Linked DNA regions of Stegostoma tigrinum. The main gene of each other region encodes a partner of the protein of the gene in region 2 in a complex. Links are inferred from orthologs where the notes say so. Each region holds a gene or a part of one and is shown on either strand. Other genes may lie near its edges. The genes, in order: basic helix-loop-helix ARNT-like protein 1, clocka and CLOCK-interacting pacemaker-like.

Region 1 (7,140 bases), on a different chromosome or scaffold from region 2:
AGAACTGGGGACATTTTTAAGGTGAGTGGAGGAAGATTTAAAGATGACACAAGGGGCAACTTTTGTTTTTAAAAATGCAGAGAATAGTTCACGTGTGGAATGAGCTTCCAGACGAAGTGATGGATGCGAGTTCAGTTACACAGTACTTAAAAGGCATTTGGATAAGTACATGAATAGGAAAGGTTTGGAGGGATATGGACCAAGCACAAGCAGATGGGACAAATTTATTTGAGATTATAGTCGCCACGGACTGGTCGGAATGAAGAGTCGGTGTCCATGCTGTATGACTGTAACTCTAAGCTAATTATCATTGGTGTTGTTGAGATAGTAAACTGAATTCTCAGCTAGGGGTCATGCAAGATACCAAGCCTACATAAATGCTTGGTCAAACCTCATGTAGATACCAGGGTGAGGACAGAATCAGTGATTAGACAATTTGTGGAAAATTAGTATATTCAGATTGAAGGCTTCTGGATACCATTTTAATAATGAAGGACAGCAGCACAAAACATTTTGTTGGTTCATTCTCAGCATGTAGGTGTCCCTGGCATGGTTGGCATATGACTGTGGTTTGCCAAACCATTTCAGAGGGCAGTTAGTGTGGAATTAGAGTTTGTAGGCAAGGCAACTGGGGGGGCAAAAGGGCGTGTGCTTAAGCTTCTTGAAATACATTCAACTAGAGTGGACTGCCATAGTGTTGAACTGGGGTCACATATACACCAAGAAAGGCAAGAATGACAAGTTCCCTTCCGTTCTAAAGGCCTTTAATAAACCAGTTACGTTTTTACAATAGTCCATGCACACTTTGACTGGCCAGTTTTTTAAAAAATATCCTGATTATTGTTTTAATTGAATTTAATTCTCAGAATACTATGGTGGGATCTGAAATTGCATTGTCAATATCATTAGTCCAGATTTCAACGTAACTTGACATGGCTCATACCTGATGGAAGGGGCCAGTGTTGGAGTGCAAGGATAGAAAAGGTTGTTTGAACCAAAGTCTGGTTGGGTCCATTCTTGGAGCTTTCATGACTAGTTACCCAACATGCACACCTTGGCAGTACTATGTCTCGCCAGCCAAAATAAACAGATATTTCGTTACCTTATTCAGAATCCTTCGTCCCTCTTCCTCCTATGCCCGATTGTCCCCTCAACACCCTCCACTATAAATTTATTGTCCCTCTGGTTATTTTTTCTACGAGGTGGCTCACATTTCTATCCTGAAGATTAAACTGGGAAATTCTGGTGATTTGTGAATTTCACCAAGACTACATTATTGTTAACCTACTACACAGGAAGTTCCCTCACTATGCGGGGAAACAACTATTCATTTTAAGAGGATGTCCTACAACTGATTATAATGCTGCAGACTTTGAAAACAGGTACTGTTCTCCCCAGATTGAACAATAAGTATCAATCAGAACTGGTCCAAGAAGGTGGGCACCAACAGAGGTTAATCCACCATATCTAACCAGACTGGAGGGAGGGACGTGTGGACTACTTTGCACAGCTGGATGACGGATGTAACGACAAACACCATTCTTATCCTCCTTTTCCAGAAGATTTCTGGGAAATTCATCTCTTGCCAAGAGATAATCAACCAAGTTCTAGTCGACAAGTGCAATGGGGAATCCAATCAGAGTTTGACAGTGAGAATATCAACCAAAGGAGAAGATAAAAAACAACAAAAGCTGTTTGCACATAGAACAACTGGCTCAGAAGTGAAGGGAAAATAAGACAAAAAGAGAGCTGACATGCATAAGACCATTAGATATTGGAGCAGAATTAGGCCATTTAGCCCACTGAATCTGCTCCAACATTCAATCGTGGCTGATGTGTCTCTACTCCATTCTCCGGCCTCCTTTCCATAACTTTTGATCCCCTTACTGATCAAGAACCTATCTGTCGTCTTTAATACACTCAATGACCTGTCCTCAACAGTGTTCTGCTAAAATGGGTTCCATGGATTTACCAGCCTCTGGCTGAAGAAATTACTTGTCTCATTCAAGAGGATAGTTGATTACAAAGAAAAAGAAGTTGGCTGTTCATATAATGCAACAGTTAATGATATTTGGAAAAAAACTACACTTTATTACTGCAAAGGAAGTGAACTCAGAAACAGACCATAAAACCATAGTTAGACGTATAGATTTTACAGGTTCCCCCAAAACCATGACCTCCACAACCTGGAGAGACAAGACCAGCAAATATATGGGAATACCAAGTCACACACCATTGTGGCTTTGCTGTGTATTGCTGCTCTTTCATCATTGCAAAGTCAAAATCATCGAACTCTCTGTCAGGCAATACTATTCGAGCACCTTTTCTGAAGAAGGGTCTAGGCCCAAAACATCAGCTTTTGTGCTCCTAAGATTCTGCTTGGCCTGCTGTGTTCATCCAGCTCCACACTTTGTTATCTACTATTCGAGCACCTTCACTCCATGGACTGCAATGGTTCAAGGCAGCAGTTATCACCACTAGGGATAACTGAGGAGGAGCAATAAATGCTGGACATACCATCCACACACATCCCAAGAAAAATGTTGTTGAAAGAATGATTAAACTTCATATTTTCAGCATTCACATATGCGCATTGTTATGGTTCAAGTTAACCTCATAGCAATTGAATCAAACACCTGTATTTATGATGTCAACGCATGTTTCAGGACAGCTTCGTACACTAAGTTTATGGTATTACTACGGCAGTACTCAAAAGTTCTTGCATAAGCTATACACACTCAATATGGATTCTGAATAACAATATGCCAGGGAGCTTGGAGGAAGTTTAAAAAAAACTAATTACCAGAGCCATTTGTGTTGCCAAGATACATTAAAGGCCGTCTGAATACATGCCATACAGGCGACTTCTTTTGTGAAATCTGAGCAAATGCCAACTGTGGTGCCGTGGAAACGCTACAGTTTATCTCATAGGCTGTCCCTTCTCTTTCTGCTAATTCACACAGCAATCAAACCTTCAGCAGACTTGCAAAAGGGAACTCACGCAGCAAGGCCTGATTTTCTCATCGCTCGATTGTTGAAGGAGCAGTCACATGACTGGCTTAATCATACACCAAAGCTGATTATATCGTGGGGCTAACACCTCTACTGAGCAATAAATCAAGGTCAGTCCTAAAGTAGGTCAGATGAATCAGCTGCTCAGGAAAGAATCAGTGCCACCATCACTGCTAAATTAACCCTTGTCTCACACAATGAGCTTTGACAGGTGATGTTACACTCAAAGATATAGAACATAGAACATAGAACAGTACAGCACAGAACAGGCCCTTCAGCCCACAATGTTGTGCCGACCATTGATCCTCATGTATGCACCCTCAAATTTCTGTAACCATATACATGTCCAGCAGTCTCTTAAATGACCCCAATCACCTTGCTTCCACAACTGCTGCTGGCAATGCATTCCATGCTCTCACAACTCTCTGCGTAAAGAACCTGCCTCTGACATCCCCTCTATACTTTCCACCAACCAGCTTAAAACTATGACCCCTCGTGCTAGCCATTTCTGCTCTGGGAAATAGTCTCTGGCTATCAACTCTATCTATGCCTCTCATTATCTTGTATACCTCAATTAGGTCCCCTCTCCTCCTCCTTTTCTCCAATGAAAAGAGACCGAGCTCAGTCAACCTCTCTTCATAAGATAAGCCCTCCAGTCCAGGCAGCATCCTGGTAAACCTCTTCTGAACCCTCTCCAAAGCATCCACATCTTTCCTATAATAGGGCGACCAGAACTGGACGCAGTATTCCAAGTGCGGTCTAACCAAAGTTTTATAGAGCTGCAACAAGATCTCACGACTCTTAAACTCAATCCCCCTGTTAATGAAAGCCTAAACACCATATGCTTTCTTAACAACCCTGTCCACTTGGGTGGCCATTTTAAGGGATCTATGTATCTGCACACCAAGATCCCTCTGTTCCTCCACGCTGCCAAGAATCCTATCCTTAATCCTGTACTCAGCTTTCAAATTCGACCTTCCAAAATGCATCACCTCGCATTTATCCAGGTTGAACTCCATCTGCCACCTCTCAGCCCATCTCTGCATCCTGTCAATGTCCCGCTGCAGCCTACAACAGCCCTCTACACTGTCAACGACACCTCCGACCTTTGTGTCGTCTGCAAACTTGCTGACCCATCCTTCAATTCCCTCGTCCAAGTCATTAATAAAAATTACAAACAGTAGAGGCCCAAGGACAGAGCCCTATGACACAGTTCAGTCTAGATACACAAGAAAAAAAGAATCAGTAAAAGTAGCAAAGCAGGATAAGGGGGCCCATGGAAAAAGGAAACAAAGCACTGAGGTTCATTTCCAAGAAGACAACTAAAAAGCAGAGAAGATGTGTTAAGCTGGCATCAAGACTTTGTTAGATCACATGTAGAGTACTATGCAGAGACCTCTGCATTATAAAATTAGATTAACAGGCCCCAGGGAAGTTGCAAAACTAAAGTTATACAAACATATTACCAGAATTAAGAGTTCAAGTCTATCTGGAAAAAAATGGTTAGAAAAGGCTGGCGAGTAACCTTTTGGAGGCAGCATTTATGAAAATATTTGATACAGTAACTTAGTGAAGACTTGGAGAACAGTGAGATTTGGGGTGCACAGAAATCATTAAATGTTTCAGAGTAGTACAAAAAATGACATTTTCATCAATTTTGTTTCTTGTCTCCAAGGGCCTGAAATACAAATGTTGACATTATGATGGAATTTAGAGAGAACTCAGTGTAGATTCCATTAGAAGCACTGTACTTCAGAATGAATCCATTTGCCCGGGAAGGAGCACTGATTCATCAGAATGATACTAAATTATGACAATAGGCCAGGTCTGAATTCCCTTGACCAGAGAAAATCAATACAGCTGTACTTCAGATGTTTCAGATACTGGAAGAAATTGATGGTTTTCCTTTACAAACCTATTTCCTTTGCTGGGGGAAAATTCAGGCCAAGGGGGCATCACCTTAAAACTTAAACCAGTTCATTTAGAGGTGAAGCAGGAGGATTCACTTCAAAAGAATAAAAAATAGGGGCAGTAGAAACTCAGAATTCACCTCTAAAGGGTGCTGGGCCTGGTGGGGGTCCATTCATAATGTCAAAACAGAGACAGTTAGATTTTGTTGGATAAGAATAAATGAAGCTTACAGGAGAGGCTCTTATGCAATTGGACAATAGAACAGCTTTGGGGGCTGGACAACTTCATGCTGTTCCTATGAGCAACAATTTCAAAGAAGCTCTGTTAAAAGGGAAGCAAGATGATTGCAGATAATACTGGAAGCGTGAAATACCTAAAGAAATGTAAAGTCTATGCTTAATCTCATTCACTTTTAACAACTACCTTGTGATGTGCGCAAGCTTTCATGATGTAGACATGCGCTGCAAGCAAAGGAAAGACATTCAGCAGTTCTCAGATTATTACATATTGGAAAAAAATCAACGACTAATCAGTGCTTTCACAAGTAGGTACAGGAGTCAAATAAGTGGGGCAGTAACTAGGGAGAGAGATAGTGCCTAATCCTAACAACCACAGGACATTTGCAAATTAAAGTCCATGGTGGAACAGAATTTCCCCAATCCTTGGAGCCCAGTTTTTCAAATTTGTATTTATGACAGAAATGTTGCAATGTAGGAAATACAGAAGTCAATTTGCACACAGCAAGTTTCTACAAAAAGCACTGTGATAATCAGCCTTCTGCATTTGTAAGCACTGCTTGAGTGTTAAACTATTGGTCAGGACAACAGGGAGCATGCTCATGCGGCTCCTGGAAACATGCCATGGAATTTATTCCCCCACCCGAGAGGCAGAGGCCGCGAGTGTCCTCTTAAAGATGAAACCTCCAAAAGCGCTGCATTCTGTCAGTACAAATGTGCAAGATGTTTGTATTCATAAATCTCCGGGGAGTGACCTATCGACTCAGGAGCCGGGGGGGGGGGGGGTGGTGGTAACCTCCTGAGCCATGGCTGACATCAAACATCATAACTAATGGGAACATTTCTCAGCTTACAAGCATTTCCCTGAAAATATCAAATGCAGCTCATCTTTGAACTTAACGTGCAGCTTTTTTTCTTCAGAATGACATTCCGACTCCCACATCAAACTTGCCCACACATCCAGAATTCAAATTATTCACTGCCTTCATAAATATGAATACTCAGGAAAACCAGAAAAATGGATAAGAAATTGCTCGGCAAAATGGAAGCAATGGGCATCACTGGAAAACAGTACTGAGGGTTGGCAATGTTAATGCATAATATTAATACAAATATCTTAGAGATAACTTTTATGTCAATTCATCTGGCACTACGATTTCCCTCACCACACTATATCATTCAACTTCTTAACAAAACAAACTGGAGCAGGAAGCTGCAACATCTTTCAGGACTCAACACTGCGTGGAGCTGAAGGAATACAGCAGGTCAGGCAGCAGAGATGCAGGAAACATTTATGTTTTGGGTTTACACAATTCAAATCGAGGCTCATCAATCCTGCAGATCAGCTGCAGCTAAACGAATAACACTCTTAGCTTTGAATTAGAAAACTGTGGGTCCAACTCCATTCAAAAGACAGTAACATTCCCAGTGCAGTACTGAAGGAATACTCACTTTAAGGTCCCAATCATTACAGGATATGCTTTAAAGCAACATTCTTGTTGAATGCAAAAGATTCAGGACGTTAGTCCAGTAAGAATTTAGGAAGGCAATACTCTTCCCTTTACCAAATTCACCAAAACTCTCTCATCATTATAACAACGCTGTTTGTGGGAGGGGGCTGCACACAAATCACATGATATAACAATGGCTATAAAAATACTTCATCAGCTGTAAAGTGCCTTAGAATTCCCTGAAGTCAAGAAAGATGTTAAATAATGGCAAATCTCTTAGCACCTTCCCTCTCTCCCTCACTTTTGATCGTTCACATTGTCCATAATGGGCTTTGCATATAAATATTTAATTAACTACACGTGCAGTTACTGGTGGTGATTAGTGTTTAAAAGAAAGAATAAAAAACACAAAGGAAAGTTACAGTAAATTTTAGCAATGGGAAAGTCGTTCTGCTATAATCAAAAAGAAAACAATAAATATAAATCTCTCAGAATCCAGGGATCTGTGGAGTGAATGGGAAAGTGGAGTT
Region 2 (7,008 bases):
CGTTCTCGATCACCGTGGGGGGAAAGTTGCGGTCCTTTAAGAACTTGGACATCTGGGATGTGCGGGAGTGGAATGTCTTGTCGTGGGAGCAGATGCGGCGGAGGCGGAGGAATTGGGAATAGGGGATGGAATTTTTGCAGGAGGGTGGGTGGGAGGAGGTGTATTCTAGGTAGCTGTGGGAGTCGGTGGGCTTGAAATGGACATCAGTTACAAGCTAATCTCAGGCAACCAGCTTGTAACTGATGTCCATTTCAACCAGCTTGTAACTGATGTCCATGTCCAAGCAAAAAACAACTGCACCTCCCAGTCGCAAACCATTTCCACTCCCCCTCCCATTCTCTTGATGACATGTCCATCATGGGCCTCCTGCACTGCCACAATGATGCCACCCGAAGGTTGCAGGAACAGCAACTCATATTCCGCCTGGGAACCCTGCAGCCATATGGTATCAATGTGGACTTCACCAGTTTCAAAATCTCCCCTTCCCCTACTGCATCCCTCAACCAGCCCAGTTCGTCCCCTCCCCCCACTGCACCACACAACCAGCCCAGCTCTTCCCCCCCAACCACTGCATCCCAAAACCAGTCCAACCTGTCTCTGCCTCCCTAACCGGTTCTTCCTCTCACCCATCCCTTCCTCCCACCCCAAGCCGCACCCCCCGCTACCTACTAACCTCATCCCACCTCCTTGACCTGTCCGTCTTCCCTGGACTGACCTATCCCCTCCCTACCTCCCCACCTACACTCTCTCCACCTATCTTCTTTACTCTCCATCTTCGGTCCGCCTCCCCCTCTCTCCCTATTTATTCCAGTTCCCTCCCCCCATCCCCCTCTCTGATGAAGGGTCTAGGCCCGAAACGTCAGCTTTTGTGCTCCTGAGATGCTGCTTGGCCTGCTGTGTTCGTCCAGCCTCACATTTTATTATCTTGGAATCTCCAGCATCTGCAGTTCCCATTATCTCTGAGCGTATAAGTGTGTACTCAGTTTAGGTCCATTTTATGTAAAATGTGCTGTAACAACTAGCAAACCCCTTTGACAGCACCTTTCAAACCAGAGACAAGGGCAACAGATATGATGGAACACTACTCTGCATATTGCCCTCCAAACAATCCAAACCTAGAACTTTACACCCTTCCTAACAGCACTGTGAATGTCTTTCAGAGATAATGGGAACTGCAGATGCTGGAGAATCCAAGACAACAAAGTGTGAAGCTGGATGAACACAGCAGGCCAAGCAGCATCTCAGGAGCACAAAAGCTGACGTTTCGGGCCTAGGCCGGGGTGGGGGGGGGCATGGGGAGAGGGTTCTGAAATAAATAGGGGGGAGATGGAGAGAGGGTTCTGAAATAAATAGGGACCGGGGGGGGGGGGGGGTGAAGAGGTGGACCGAAGACGGGAGAGAAAAGAAGATAGGTGGAGAGGAGAGTACAGGTGAAGAGGTAGGGAAGGGATAAGTCAGTCCAGGGAGGACGGATAGGTCAAGGAGGCGGGATGAGGTTAGTAGGTAGGAAATGGAGGTGTGGCTTGAGGTGGGAGGAAGGGATAGGTGGGAGAAAGAACAGGTTAGGGAGGCAGGGACAAGCCGGGCTGGTTTTGGAATGCAGTGGGGGGAGGGGACGAGCTGGGCTGGTTTTGGGATGCAGTGGGGGAAGGAGAGATTTTGAAGCTGGTGAAGTCCACATTGATACCATTGGGCTGCAGGGTTCCCAAGCGGAATATGAGTTGCTGCTCCTGCAACCTTCGGGTGGCATCGCTGTGGCACTGCAGGATGGACATGTCGTCTAAGGAATGGGAGGGGGGAGTTAAAATGGTTTGCGACTGGGAGGTGCAGTTGTTTGTTGCGAACCGAGCAGAGGTGTTCTGCAAAGCGGTCCCCAAGCCTCCACTTGGTTTCCCCAATGTAGAGGTAGCCACACCGTGTACAACGGATACAATATACCACATTGGCAGATGTTCGCCTGCACATCGGCTTAACATGGAAAGTCACCTTGGGGCCTGGGATGGGGTGACTGCGTGGACTACGAAGGCTCTTGAATGCCGGTCAAACCATCACTGCTTAAAGAATACGGCAGCAATAAATGCTGTCCCCATCCTTGAGTGACTGTCCTCTTAAAAAAAATCAGTGCAAAACATTTGACAATGCTTTTGTTATATCAGTGTCATTAAGCTCTTTGCAGCTGGGGAAGCTTAAAAATCAATGGTACAAAACTGAAAAAATACATTTGTTGTTTTGTATGGATGGATGCATGTAATTTATTGCTAAGTCGGTCACGAAACCTTTAGACATCTGAATGTTCTTTTAAAAAAATTAATACTACTGCTACGAAAAAAATGTCCATTTCATAAGCAGCGAATAGAAGACCGAAAAACAATAGTCAAACACCTACCCCAACAAAAATCAGAATACACATGCGCTGTGTGGCGCTTCAACAACAGGACACACAAATAGGCAGTCGGCGGAGAGCCCGACATCAGGCAAGTACCAGAGGACCAGACACTGAAATAAAATCCTCACAGTTGAATGAAAGGATTCCACACGCCGTTCAGTCACCTTTACTTCATTTCTCTCTCCTCCCCACCAACAGATTCAGTCTATACCCTCCGTCTCCATCCCTCCTCTTCTCTTCCTCACTCGAATGAATGAAGCCGGTTGCCCTGGCTCCGTAGGGAATCAGAGATAACAAGGTGTAGAGCTGGATGAACACAGCAGGCCAAGCAGCACAGGAGCAGGAAAGCTGACTTTTCGTGTCTGGGCCCTTCCTCAGAAAACGGGTGGGGGGGGGGGGGGCTCTGAAATAAAGGGGGAGGCGAATAGGATAGGTGGAGAGCACTCCAGTTCTGCTCTGATTTCACTCCTCAGAATACCGCCAGACCTGCTAATTCTCCGGCAGTTTCGGATTTTTTTTGTTATTGCCCTTCCCCCGCCGCTTGTCTCCGATTTCCAACATCCGCAGTCCTTTCGATTTTTATTTGGTTAGGAATCAGACGTTCAATCCGAGCCCGCGACTCTGCAGCGTCGCCGACGGTGACAGGCAGCCACTCAACACCGTGTCTGCGGGGCTGCACTAAATTACACCGCTTCTTGTTTTTTTAAAAAACATAGATACAAGAGCGTGCTATCCTCGAAATAAAATCATAAGTATTGATGCCCACTAAAGCAGAAGTGAACTACAATTTGTAAAACGCAGTTTTTAAAATATTTTTTAAACTAAAAGCCTACTGCGTACTACTTTTTGTATAGAGGAAAATAATTTTCATCCAACACTTACGTAACGATGTAATACCGCCGCGGGAAATTACCTGATTTTCTCTCTGATTGCAGGAAGATATCTGAAACTGAGATTTAAGCGTCCGTAATAATTTACATGATTTAATTTACCAGGTTATCCATCAGCCGTGAATACCTTCCTCTCTGCAATAACTGCCAACGCCGCTCGAGCTCAATGTTTATCTCCTCGCGCAGGCCCCGTGCGCCGGGTTCACTGGGAGAGTCCCACTGACCCAATTCTCTCCATTTGTTGTGATCGTGTGGGAGAGGAGGAGCCACTGTTGCACAAGACAGTCCCACTGACCCAATTGTCGTTTATCTCAAGAGGGTTGGAATATAAAAGCAGCGATGTGCTTCTGAGGCTTAATAAAGCTCTAGTTAGGCCCCATTTAGAATATAGTGTCCAATTTTGGGCCCCACACCTCAGTAAGGACATACTAGCCCTGGAGCGTGTACAGCGAAGATTCACACGGATGATCCCTGGAATGGTAGGTTTAGCGTATGATGCCCTGGAGCGTGTCCATCGGAGATTCACACGGATGATCCCTGGAATGGTAGATTTAACGTATGATGAACGGCTAAGGATCCTGGGATTGTACTCATGAGAGTTTTGAAGGTTGAGGGGAGATCTAATAGAAACTTACAAGATAATGTATGGTTTAGAAGGGGTGGACACTAGGAAGTTGTTTCCGTTAGGCGGGGAGACTAGGACCCGTGGGCACAGCCTTAAAATTAAAGGGGGTAAATTTAAAACTGAAATGAGATGACATTTCTTCAGCCAGAGAGAGGTGGGCTTATGGAATTCATTGCCGCAGAGTGCAGTGGACGCCGGGACGTTGGATGCCTTCAAGGCAGAGATCGACAAATTCTTGATCTCAAAAGGAATCAAGGGCTACGGGGAGAGTGCAGGGCAGTGGTGTTGAAATGCCCATCAGCCATGATTTAAATGGCGGAGTCGACTTGATGGGCCAAATGGCCTCACTTCCACTCCTGTGTCTTATGGCCTAATTGTCACCATTGTCTCCACTGCTACATGTCAACGATCTGGATCTCAGTGTGCAGGGTGCAAGCTCAAAGTCTGCAGATGGCATTAAACTTTTGAGAAATTGCAAACAGTGTGGAACTCCGAAAGGACCATTGACAAGTTAGGTGGCAGGTGAGGCCTCCATTGGGAGAAGATTGGGAGACAACATTAAGTTCGATTCAAGGCAAAGGGGATGCAAGAGCAGGGAGACCTTATCGAGACCTGCACAGACCACTGAACGTGGTAGGAGAGATGGAGGGAGCAGGTAATGGATGATGTAAAACTTGGATTTAATATGAATTGTGAAGGAGGGGTAGTGTAGAACTTCAAAATGATATAAACAAGATTGTGGAATGAGACAAGTGACAGATGAAATTTAATGAAGAGAAGGGTGAAGTGATTCATTCCAGTTGGAAGAATGCAGAAAGACAATTGACAATATCGGGTACAATTCTAAAGAAAGGCCAGGAGCAGAAGGATCTGAATGTAAATTTGCGCGCGTCATTTAAGGTTGAGAGAACCATTAATAAAATATACATCTGGGCCCTTTTCCTAGTACAAAAATGAAGGTGTTTTGTTAAGCTGAATAAAACATTGCTGCACCCACAACTGAAGCATTAGCACCAAACTTCAAGAAGAATGTGAAAGTGTTGAAGAGAGTACAGAAAAGATGTGCAAGAATGGTCCCAAGAGTAAGATTTTTCAGTTTCATATATATTGAGGAAATTGCCAGTTTTGGAGCAGTGAATGCTTTGAGGAGTTTGATAGAGGTATTCAAAATCCTGAGACATTTCGACAAAGCAGATGAGGAGAAACTTTTCCCTTTGGTGAAAGGATCAAGAACCAATGGAGTGGACACTCTGTTTCTGCTACAAGTGGTCACCTTGTAAGCCAGTGTATGAGATCAAGCAAACACATTTCAAAAACAAGTCCATGCACAAAATGCTGCTGCATAAGATAAAGGTGCATGGCATCACAGGGTAATGTATTAGCATGGATAGAGGATTTACACTGCCACAAACACTCTGGAGACAAAATTCCCAGAGGAATGATGGGTGGCGACTTCAATTAAACCAACCTCAAGCAGGCAATGCCAAAATCTAACACATCTCCTGCCACACCAGAGGACCAAATATTCTGGACCACTGCTGCACAACCATCAAAGACACCTACTGCTCAATCCCCCACCTACAGTTCAAAAAATCCAACCACAATGCCGTATTCCTCCTCCCAGCTTGCAGGCATAAGCTGAAATGGGAGAATCCTTCATGAAGTGAAGTACAGAGTTGGCCTGAGGCAGCGGAAGACCGTCTCCGGGACTGCTTGGACTCGTGAACTGGAGTATTTTCAAGTGTTCAACGGAAAACCTAGACAAGTATGCCACTACCAATCATAGACTTCATTAGCATCAAAGAAGTCAATCCAAGTGTTTCAGAACTGTAAACCTTGGATGAACCAGGAAATCCACTCCCTATCAAAAACCAGACATGCAGCATTCAGGATAATAAAGTGTGAAGCTGGATGACCACAGCAGGCCAAGCAGCATCTCAGGAGCACAAGAGCTGACGTTTCGGGCCTAGACCCTTCATCAGAGAGGGGGGTGGGGTGAGGGTTCTGGAATAAATAGGGAGAGAGGGGGAGGCGGACCGAAGATGGAGAGAAAAGAAGATAGGTGGAGAGGAGAGTATAGGTAGGGAGGGGATAGGTCAGTCCAGGGAAGATGGACAGGTCAATGAGGTGGGATGAGGTTAGTAGGTAGGAAATGGAGGTGCCCCTTGGGGTGGGAGGAAGGGATGGGTGAGAGGAAGAACAGGTTAGGGAGGCAGAGACAGGCTGGGCTGGTTTTGGGATGCAGTGGGTGGAGGGGAAGAGCTGGGCTGGTTGTGTGGTGCTGTGGGGGGAGGGGACGAACTGGGCTGGTTTTGGGATGCAGTGGGGGAAGGGGAGATTTTGAAGCTGGTGAAGTCCACATTGATTCCATTGGGCTACAGGGTTCCCAAGCAGGATATGAATTGCTGTTCCTGCAACCTTCGGGCCATGATGGACATGTCATCTGAAGAATGGGAGGGGGAATTGAAATGGTTCGCGACTGGGAGGTGCAGTTGTTTATTGCGAACCGAGTGGAGGTGTTCTGCAAAGCGGTCCCCAAGCCTCTGCTTGGTTTCCCCAAAGAAAGCCACACCCGGTACAATGGATACAGTATACCATATTGGCAGATGTGCAGGTGAACCTCTACTTAATATGGAAAGTCATCTTGGGGCCTGGGATAGGGGTGAGGGAGGAGGTGTGAGGGCAAGTGTAGCGTTTCCTGCGGTTGCAGGGGAAGGTGCTGGGTGTGGTGGGGTTGGAGGGCAGTGTGGAGTGAACAAGGGAGTCACGGAGAGAGTGGTCTCTCCGGAAAGCAGACAAGGGTGGCGATGGAAAAATGTCTTGGGTGGTGGGGTCGGATTGTAGATGGCGGAAGTGTCGGAGGATGATGCATTGTATCCGGAGGTTGGTGGGGTGGTGTGTGAGAACAAGGGGGATCCTCTTAGGGCGGTTGTGGCGGGGGCGGGGTGTGCAGGATGTGTTGCGGGAAATGCGGGAGATGTGGTTAAGGGCATTATCAACCACTGTGGGGGGAAAGTTGCGGCTCGACCACTGTGGGGGGGAAAGTTGCAGCATTCAAGTCAGGTGGCCTGGATCAAAACAGAAAATCCAATTCCAAACTTGAACTC
Region 3 (7,580 bases), on a different chromosome or scaffold from region 2:
ACACCATCAATTCCACATCCCCATGAGACCGTCACATTCCCTACACCATCAATTCCACACCACCATGAGATCCCCACATTCTCTACACTATCAATTCCACACCCCCATGAGATCCCCACATTATCTACACCATCAATTCCACATCCCCATGAGACCCTCACATTCCCTACACCATCAATTCCACATCCCCATGAGACCGTCACATTCTCTACACCATCAATTCCACACCACCATGAGATCCCCACATTCTCTACAACATCAATTCCACACCCCCATGAGATCCCCACATTCAATTCCACACCACCATGAGATCCCCACATTCTCTACACCATCAATTCCACACCCCCATGAGATCCCCACATTCTCTACACCATCAATTCCACACCCCCATGAGATCCCCACATTATCTACACCATCAATTCCACATCCCCATGAGACCCTCACATTCTCTACACCATCAATTCCACATCCCCATGAGACCGTCACATTCTCTACACCATCAATTCCACACCACCATGAGATCCCCACATTCTCTCCACCATCAGTTCCACACCCCCATGAGATCCCCACATTCTCCACACCATCAATTCCACATCCCCATGAGATCCCCACATTCTCTACCCCCTCACTCCCTGCACCTTGGGATCCCCACATTCTCTACCCCCTCACTCCCCCCACCAATGGGATCCCCAAATTCTCTACCCCTCCACTCCCTGCCATGGGATCCCCACATTCTCCACCCCCTCACTACCACCACCTTGGGATCCCAACATTCTCTACCCCCTCACTCCCCCACATTGGATCCCCACATTCTCTACCCCCTCACTCCCACCACCATGGGATCCCCACATTCTCTACTCCCTCATTCCCCACCATGGGATCCCCACATTCTCTACCCCCTCACTACACCCCGCCCCATTGGATCCCCACATTGTCTACCCCTCATTCCCCCCCGATGGGATTCCCACATTCTTTACCCCTCATTCCCCCCAACGGATCCCCACATTCTCTACCCCCTCACTCCCCGCCATGGGCTCCCCACATTCTCTACCCCCTCACTACACATCCCCCCAATGGGATCCCCACATTCTCTATGCCCACATTCGCTACCCCCTCATTCCTGCCATGGGATCCCCACATTCTCTACCCCCTCACTCCCCCCCCATGGGATCCCCACATTCTCTACCCCCAGATTCTCTACCCCCTCACTACACCTACCCCGATGAGATCCCCACATTCTCTACCCCCTCACTACGCCTCCCGCCGATGAGATCCCCACATTCTCTACCCCCTCACTACACCCCCCCCGATGGGATCCCCACATTCTCTACCCCCTCACTATACCTCTCCCCGATGGGATCCCCACATTCTCTACCCCCACATTCTCTACCCCCTCATTACAACCCCTGATGGGATCCCCACATTCTCTAACCCCTCACTACACCTCTCCCCGATGGGATCCCCACATTCTCTACCCCCTCACTACACCTCCCCCCGATGAGATCCCCACATTCTCTACCCCCTCATTCTCTACCCCCACATTCTCTACCTCCTCATTCTCTACCCCCTCACTACACCACCCCCGATGGGATCCCCACATTCTCTACCCCCTCACTACACCTCCCCTGATGGGATCCCCACATTCTCTACCCCCTCACTACTCCTCCCCCGATGAGATCCCCACATTCTCTACCCCCACATTCTCTACCCCTTCATTCTCCACCCCTCACTACACCCTCCCGATGGGATCCCCACATTCTCTATGCCCAAATTCTCTACCCCCTCATTCCTGCCATGGGATCCCCACATTCTCTACCCCCTCACTCCCCCCCATGGGATCCCCACATTCTCTACCCCCTCACTACACCAACCCCGATGAGATCCCCACATTCTCTACCCCCACATTCTCTACACCCTCACTACACCTCCCTCCGATGGGATCCCCACATTCTCTACCCCCTCACTACGCCTCCCGCCGATGAGATCCCCACATTCTCTACCCCCTCACTACACCCCCCCCCGATGGGATCCCCACATTCTCTACCCCCACATTCTCTACCCCCACATTCTCTACCCCCTCACTACAACCCCCGATGGGATCCCCACATTCTCTACCCCCTCACTACACCTCCCCCCGATGAGATCCCCACATCCTCTACCCCCTCATTCTCTACCCCCACATTCTCTACCTCCTCATTCTCTACCCCCACATTCTCTACCCCCTCACTACACCCCCCCAATGGGATCCCCACATTCCCTACCCCCTCACTACACCCCCCCGATGGGATCCCCACATTCTCTACCCCTCACTACACCTCCCCCGATGAGATCCCCACATTCTCTACCCCCTCACTACACCCCCCCGATGGGATCCCCACATTCTCTACCCCCTCACTACACCTCCCCCCGATGAGATCCCCACATTCTCTACCCCCTCACTACACCCCCCGATGGGATCCCCACATTCTCTACCCGCTCATTCTCTACCCCCACATTCTCTACCCCTTCATTCTCCACCCCCTCACTACACACCCCCCAATGGGATCCCCACATTCTCTACCCCCTCACTAAACCCCCCCCGATGAGATCCCCACATTCTCTACCCCCTCACTACACCCCCCGATGGGATCCCCACTTTCTCTACCCCCTCATTCTCTACCTCCTCATTCTCTATCCCCACTTTCTCTACCCCCTCATTCTCTACCTCCTCATTCTCTATCCCCACTTTCTCTACCCCCTCATTCTCTACCTCCTCATTCTCTATCCCCACATTCTCTACCCCCTCACTCCCGGGCAAGGGGCGGGGGGTGTACTCCGCCTTCCGATCTCTGTCTCCTCCCCCACCCCGAGATACCGGTCGTTCCCCGGTCTCTGTGCCCGACGTTGGGGGGGGGGGTGGAAGATGTTTATCCTCCGGACCCCAATGTTTTAATCCACCCCCTCCCCAGTCACGGGGGATGGAGGCTATTCCTACCTTCTCCACCCCCTCGATCGTCCCGGTCGCCTCCACCGCTTCTCACCCAAACCTGCAGCAGATTCTCCCGACCCCACCCCACAACGGGCTACCTCACTGAATGACAACGGCTCCGACCAATGGAGAGTGAAGTCCTCCGTCCCTCTCCACCAATCCAAGGAGGCGGGACCGCCCTCCGGTTCCCGCCCCCGCCCGGCGAGTTAGGTTGCGCTCCCCTCCGCCGCCCCGTGCGCGGCCTCGTGAGCGCGGCGTGATTGACAGGCCGTCTCCATGGCGACCCCGGCCAGGCGTCCGCACGCGCCGCTCTCCCCCGAGGCCTTGCAACGTGAGCAAGAGGCCACGTGGAAAGACGCAGCAGTTGGTGCATGCGACCCTGCGCAGGCAGCCGTGCAAACCGAGCAATGCAACCGGCAGGGCCCTACAGGAATAGCTGTACTTCAGTACCTAGTTGCACCAGGTCCCACATGCGAACACTGTGCAAAGGGGGCAAATCAGTGTAGAACCTCCAATCGGAACATAAGAACTAGGAGTAGGCCGTCCGGCCCCTCGAGCCTGCCCCGCCATTTAATAAGGTCAACGCTGATCTTTTTGAGACTCAGCTCCACTTAACCGCCCACCCACCATAACCCTTAATTCGTTTACAGTTCAAAAATTTATCTAACCTTGCCTTAAAAACGTTCAGCGAGGTTCAATGGCTTCACTGGGCTGGGAATTCCACAGATTCACAACCCTTTTGTGAAGAAGTTCCTCCTGACCTCAGTCCCTTTATTTTCCTTTGCTTTCCCTTTATTTTGAGGCCATAGTGGTGGTCATATTGGGCAACAGATTGGTTACCGAGTTGGAAACCGAACATAGGGTGGCACGGTGGCTCAGTAGTTAGCACTGCAGCCTCACAGCGCCAGGGACCTGGGTTCAATCCCAGCCTCAGGCAACTGCCTGTGTGGAGTTTGCACACTCTCCCCGTGTCTGCATGGGTTTCCTCCCACAGTCCAAAAATGTGCAGGCTAGGTGGACCGGCCATGCTAAATTGCCTGTAGTGCTCGGGGTGTGTGGGTTATAGGGGAATGGGTCTGGGTGGGATGCTTCAAGGGGTAGCATGGACTTGTTGGGCCGAAGGGCCTGTTTTCACACTGTTAATCTAATCTAATAACAAGTTAGAAGTAGGTCCCTGGATTCTGCTCTCCTATTTATTAATGACGTGGAGGTGCCAGTGTTGGAAAGGAATGGTCAAGCCCAGAAATCATGCCACACCAGGTTATAGTCCGACAGGTCCATTTGGAAAGAAGGAATAAGACTCCAAAAGCTTGTGTTTTCTTTGGACTATGCCCTGGTATGGTGTGAATTCTGACCATTTATTAAGATTAAGGCTCTTGAGTACTGGACATGTGAACCAGAAGGTTTAAGTTTGAGTGTGTAACATTAACTTTGACTAGGTTGATTAGAAAATTTATTCAGAACTTTTTTCCCTTTATTCATTTACAGGATGAGGGCATCGCCAGCTCTGCAGCATTTATTGCCCATCCATAATTGCAGTTAATAATCAACTGCATTGCTGTAGGTCTGGAGGCACATGTGGGTCAGAGCAGGTAAGGATGGCAGTTCCTTCCATAAAGGACATTAGTGAACCAGAAACAAACACAAATTTGCTGGAAAAGCTCAGCAGGTCTGGCAGCATCTGTGAAGGAGAAAACAGAGTTAACGTTTCGGGTCCGGTGACCCTTCCTGATTTACAGTATCCACAGTTTTTTTGGTTTTTATGTAGTGAACCAGATATGTTTTTCAGCAATGGATTCACAGCCATCATTAGATTCTTAATTCCAGATATTTATTGAATTCAAATTTCACCATCTGCCGTGGAAAGATTCAATCCTGGGTCCCCAGAACATTATCTGGGTTTCTGGATTAACAGCACAGTAATAATACCACTAGGCCATCACTTCCCCCTTTTCGGAGGAGAATGAGATTGATAAATATGTAAATGGTAAAGGAATCAAGAGCTATGGGGAAAAGGCAAGAAAGTGGAGTTTAGAATTAGATTTAATTGTCACATACTTGAGTATAGGAGTATAGTAAAAAATGTACAGTGTTTGCTCTGGCCCCATCTTGGTCACAAAAAATAGCCAAAAGGTAGGAAAACTTCTAGATCTTAAAGTCTAAAGTTTTATCTCCGTAAATGTGCCTCACAATCTCATTGAATGGCAGAGCAGGCTCGATGGGCTAAATGGCCTATATCTACTTCTTTGTCTATCTTATTTCACATTTCCATCTCTTCCTCATTCTGACAGAGGTGACTATAGTGTTGGGAGCCAAGAGACCCCAGCTAAAGGCCACTCTTGCTCTTCCCATTGGTGCTAAAGTGATATACATCAAAACACACTTCTTACACATCAATCCTTGCATTCAGCTCTCAGATTTTAATTATTGGATGCCAATTTGCTTGTTGGTCAGGCAGTAATCCAAAAATTATTGCCTGTGTGGTAACACTTATTAGTTTAATCCCTTGCTGTTCATTCGTGCTTAGCAGAACCTCTTTTCTGGCTAAAGGCAGGAATTCCAAAGCTTTGAACACAGAAGACTAAAGGTTAGGTATCTGTTGGTGAGGTTTCAGCAACTGAGCAGATTACTGGTCCCGCTGTAAACCTAGGGAACGTACATACTCCTTCATATTTTAAACATTTGTCATCAACTGTTCACACACACCTCTGAAGCAAGTGGGATTTGAGTGCAGGTCACTATCCCTTAACAGTAGCCTATACACCTTCACTCGCATACTCACCATCCTGTTTAGTTGCATCAATTCAAAACATTTTACCCCCCTCCCAACACCAGCTTTAATACACATTATAGATGTTGCAAATTGCTGAGGCCTCAACTTCCATATAAGATCCCTGTGTATCTCCAAATTCAGGTGCATAGACAGCCCCTTATCCTCACCAGCTAAATGCAGCATTCCCACAGACACCTGCGAATCCCTGGCCCAAGACTGTCCAAAGTGAAGGAGGTGCATCCAGGAAGGCGTCAAGCATCTCGAGATTTGTTGTTGGAGAAAATGGAAGCCAGCTGGACCAAGGACCAAGCTGCCACAACAACACCCTACACACCCCATGGGATTCCCACATTCTCTACCCCATGCCACGACCAGCTTCTGACCCCAAGTGTGAAAGATCCTGCGGGAGCCCCATTGGTCTGTACAGCCACCTCCGGACTCACCCTTAGAGTCATCCTCGTCTGTGAGGGACCGTCAGTGACAATGATCCCTTCAGCATGGCCCCTGAAAACATTTTCCACAAACTCCACATCCGTGACCCCAGTAGTCTCAAATATGCCTCCTCCTATTCACATGGCTAATAAGTTTGGAAAGCCAACCCTGGCCTCCAGCAGTCTGAGCGCTTATGCAAGCTTCCTCTGTAATCCCAAAAAAATACTATTCAGCATAGTTGCACTATCGCCTGCCCAATGGTGCATCTCAAAAGCCCTGATTGTTTGAAGCCACGTGTATTTATAGAGGCCTCGTCAGATAGTTAGAATCCCATTGACTGTTCTAACCTTTTATTTTTAAAACAGGGTTAACTGCACATTATATTCCTGTCCATTGCTCATTCACTTGGAATTATCTGCTATGTGGGTCACTGATTTTTATTCAACCTAGAACAGCTACAGCACTAAAGGAGGCCACTTGGCCCATCGTGTCTCGGTTGACTCTCTGGGAGAACCTCCCCCACCCTTTTTCCCCATACTTTGTACATAGTCAATCTTTCTAATTCACTTGTGGAATGCAGAAAATCACAGACTGGGCCAGTATTTACTGCCCATCCTTAGATGCCCTTGAGAAGTCAGTGGTGAGTTGACATCTTGAACTGTGCTCTAGGTAGACTCACAATGCCCTTAAGGAGGGAATTCCAGGATTTTGAGCCACAGATGGCAAAAGGACAGAAATATATTTCCAAGTCAGGGTGGTTGCAGTTTGGCAGGTATTTTCCTTCAGTTCTCATGAAGGGTCTAGGCCCGAAACGTCAGCTTTTGTGCTCCTAAGATGCTGCTTGGCCTGCTGTGTTCATCCAGCCCCACACTTTGTTAGCTCTGAGCTTTTCCACCAACTTTGTTTTTGTTCCTGTTTATTTTCCTTGCAGTGGTGTTCCCATGTATATGCTGCCCTTGTCCTTCCAGATGGAAGTGATTGTTGGTTAGGGAGGTGCTAAGGATTTTTGGCAAATTTCTCCACTGCATCTTGTAAGTGGTATTGGGTGTCAGTGATGGAGGGAAGGATGTGATGCCAATAAAACGGGCTGCTTTGTCCTGGACGGTGCCAAGCTTCTCAAGTTGTTGGAGCTACACTCATCCAGGCAATTGGGGAGTATTCCGTCACACTCCTGACTTGTGCCTAGTAGATGGTGGACAGTCTTTGGGGATCACTGCAAGATTCCTTGCCTCCGTCCTCATCCATTAATAAATACATTGTCTTCCCACCCCCACCTCTGTCAGTAGTACCTCTATCCTGAACTCCCCTTTGGCCAGTTCCCTTCACATCTCTTCCTGAATTCAGGGAAGGAAGTTTGGACAGGTGGGGCATAAATCTATTGGAGTTAAGAATGAGAGGTGACCTCAT

What was found.
Region 1: the proteins of clocka (region 2) and basic helix-loop-helix ARNT-like protein 1 are in contact, whole or in part, in a crystal structure (PDB 4F3L), measured with the Mus musculus proteins. The link is inferred for Stegostoma tigrinum from reciprocal best matches to the Homo sapiens genes CLOCK and BMAL1. Residues at the interface, in NP_001276755.1 of Mus musculus: Arg46, Gln49, Phe50, Leu53, Ile54, Glu56, Leu57, Met60, Leu61, Pro62, Lys70, Ser71, Leu74, Gln75, Ser77, Ile78, Phe80, Leu81, Arg82, His84, Lys85, Thr88, Glu95, Ile96, Gln98, Asp99, Trp100, Pro102, Phe104, Leu105; in XP_030097882.1 of Mus musculus: Lys70, Met71, Phe74, Ile75, Glu77, Leu78, Ser80, Leu81, Val82, Asp93, Leu95, Leu98, Arg99, Ala101, Val102, His104, Met105, Lys106, Leu108, Arg109, Gly110, Ala118, Tyr120, Lys121, Pro122, Phe124, Leu125, Asp127, Asp128, Glu129.
Region 3: the proteins of clocka (region 2) and CLOCK-interacting pacemaker-like are in contact, whole or in part, in a crystal structure (PDB 5VJI), measured with the Mus musculus proteins. The link is inferred for Stegostoma tigrinum from reciprocal best matches to the Homo sapiens genes CLOCK and CIPC. Residues at the interface, in NP_001276755.1 of Mus musculus: Gln519, Leu526, Lys527, Leu530, Arg533, Ile537, Asn540, Ile541, Arg543, Gln544, Glu547, Leu548, Ile551, Gln554, Leu555, Val558; in XP_006515773.1 of Mus musculus: Asn401, Thr402, Val405, Leu406, Ser409, Leu411, Ile414, Thr415, Thr418, Leu421, Ile422, Asn425, Thr428, Gln429, Leu432, Leu435, Lys436, Thr439, Gln440, Phe442, Ile443, Thr446.

Annotation. Positions count from the first base shown.
Region 1 is NC_081370.1:38,028,617-38,035,756, reverse strand, and holds the start of basic helix-loop-helix ARNT-like protein 1, read right to left. Parts: upstream 3,035-7,140; 5' UTR 2,832-3,034; coding exon 2,804-2,831; intron 1-2,803. UniProt on the Homo sapiens protein: Transcriptional activator which forms a core component of the circadian clock.
Region 2 is NC_081354.1:108,804,555-108,811,562, forward strand, and holds the start of clocka (circadian locomoter output cycles protein kaput), read right to left. Parts: upstream 3,015-7,008; 5' UTR 2,551-3,014; intron 1-2,550. UniProt on the Homo sapiens protein: Transcriptional activator which forms a core component of the circadian clock.
Region 3 is NC_081392.1:9,123,466-9,131,045, reverse strand, and holds the start of CLOCK-interacting pacemaker-like, read right to left. Parts: upstream 3,054-7,580; 5' UTR 2,975-3,053; intron 1-2,974.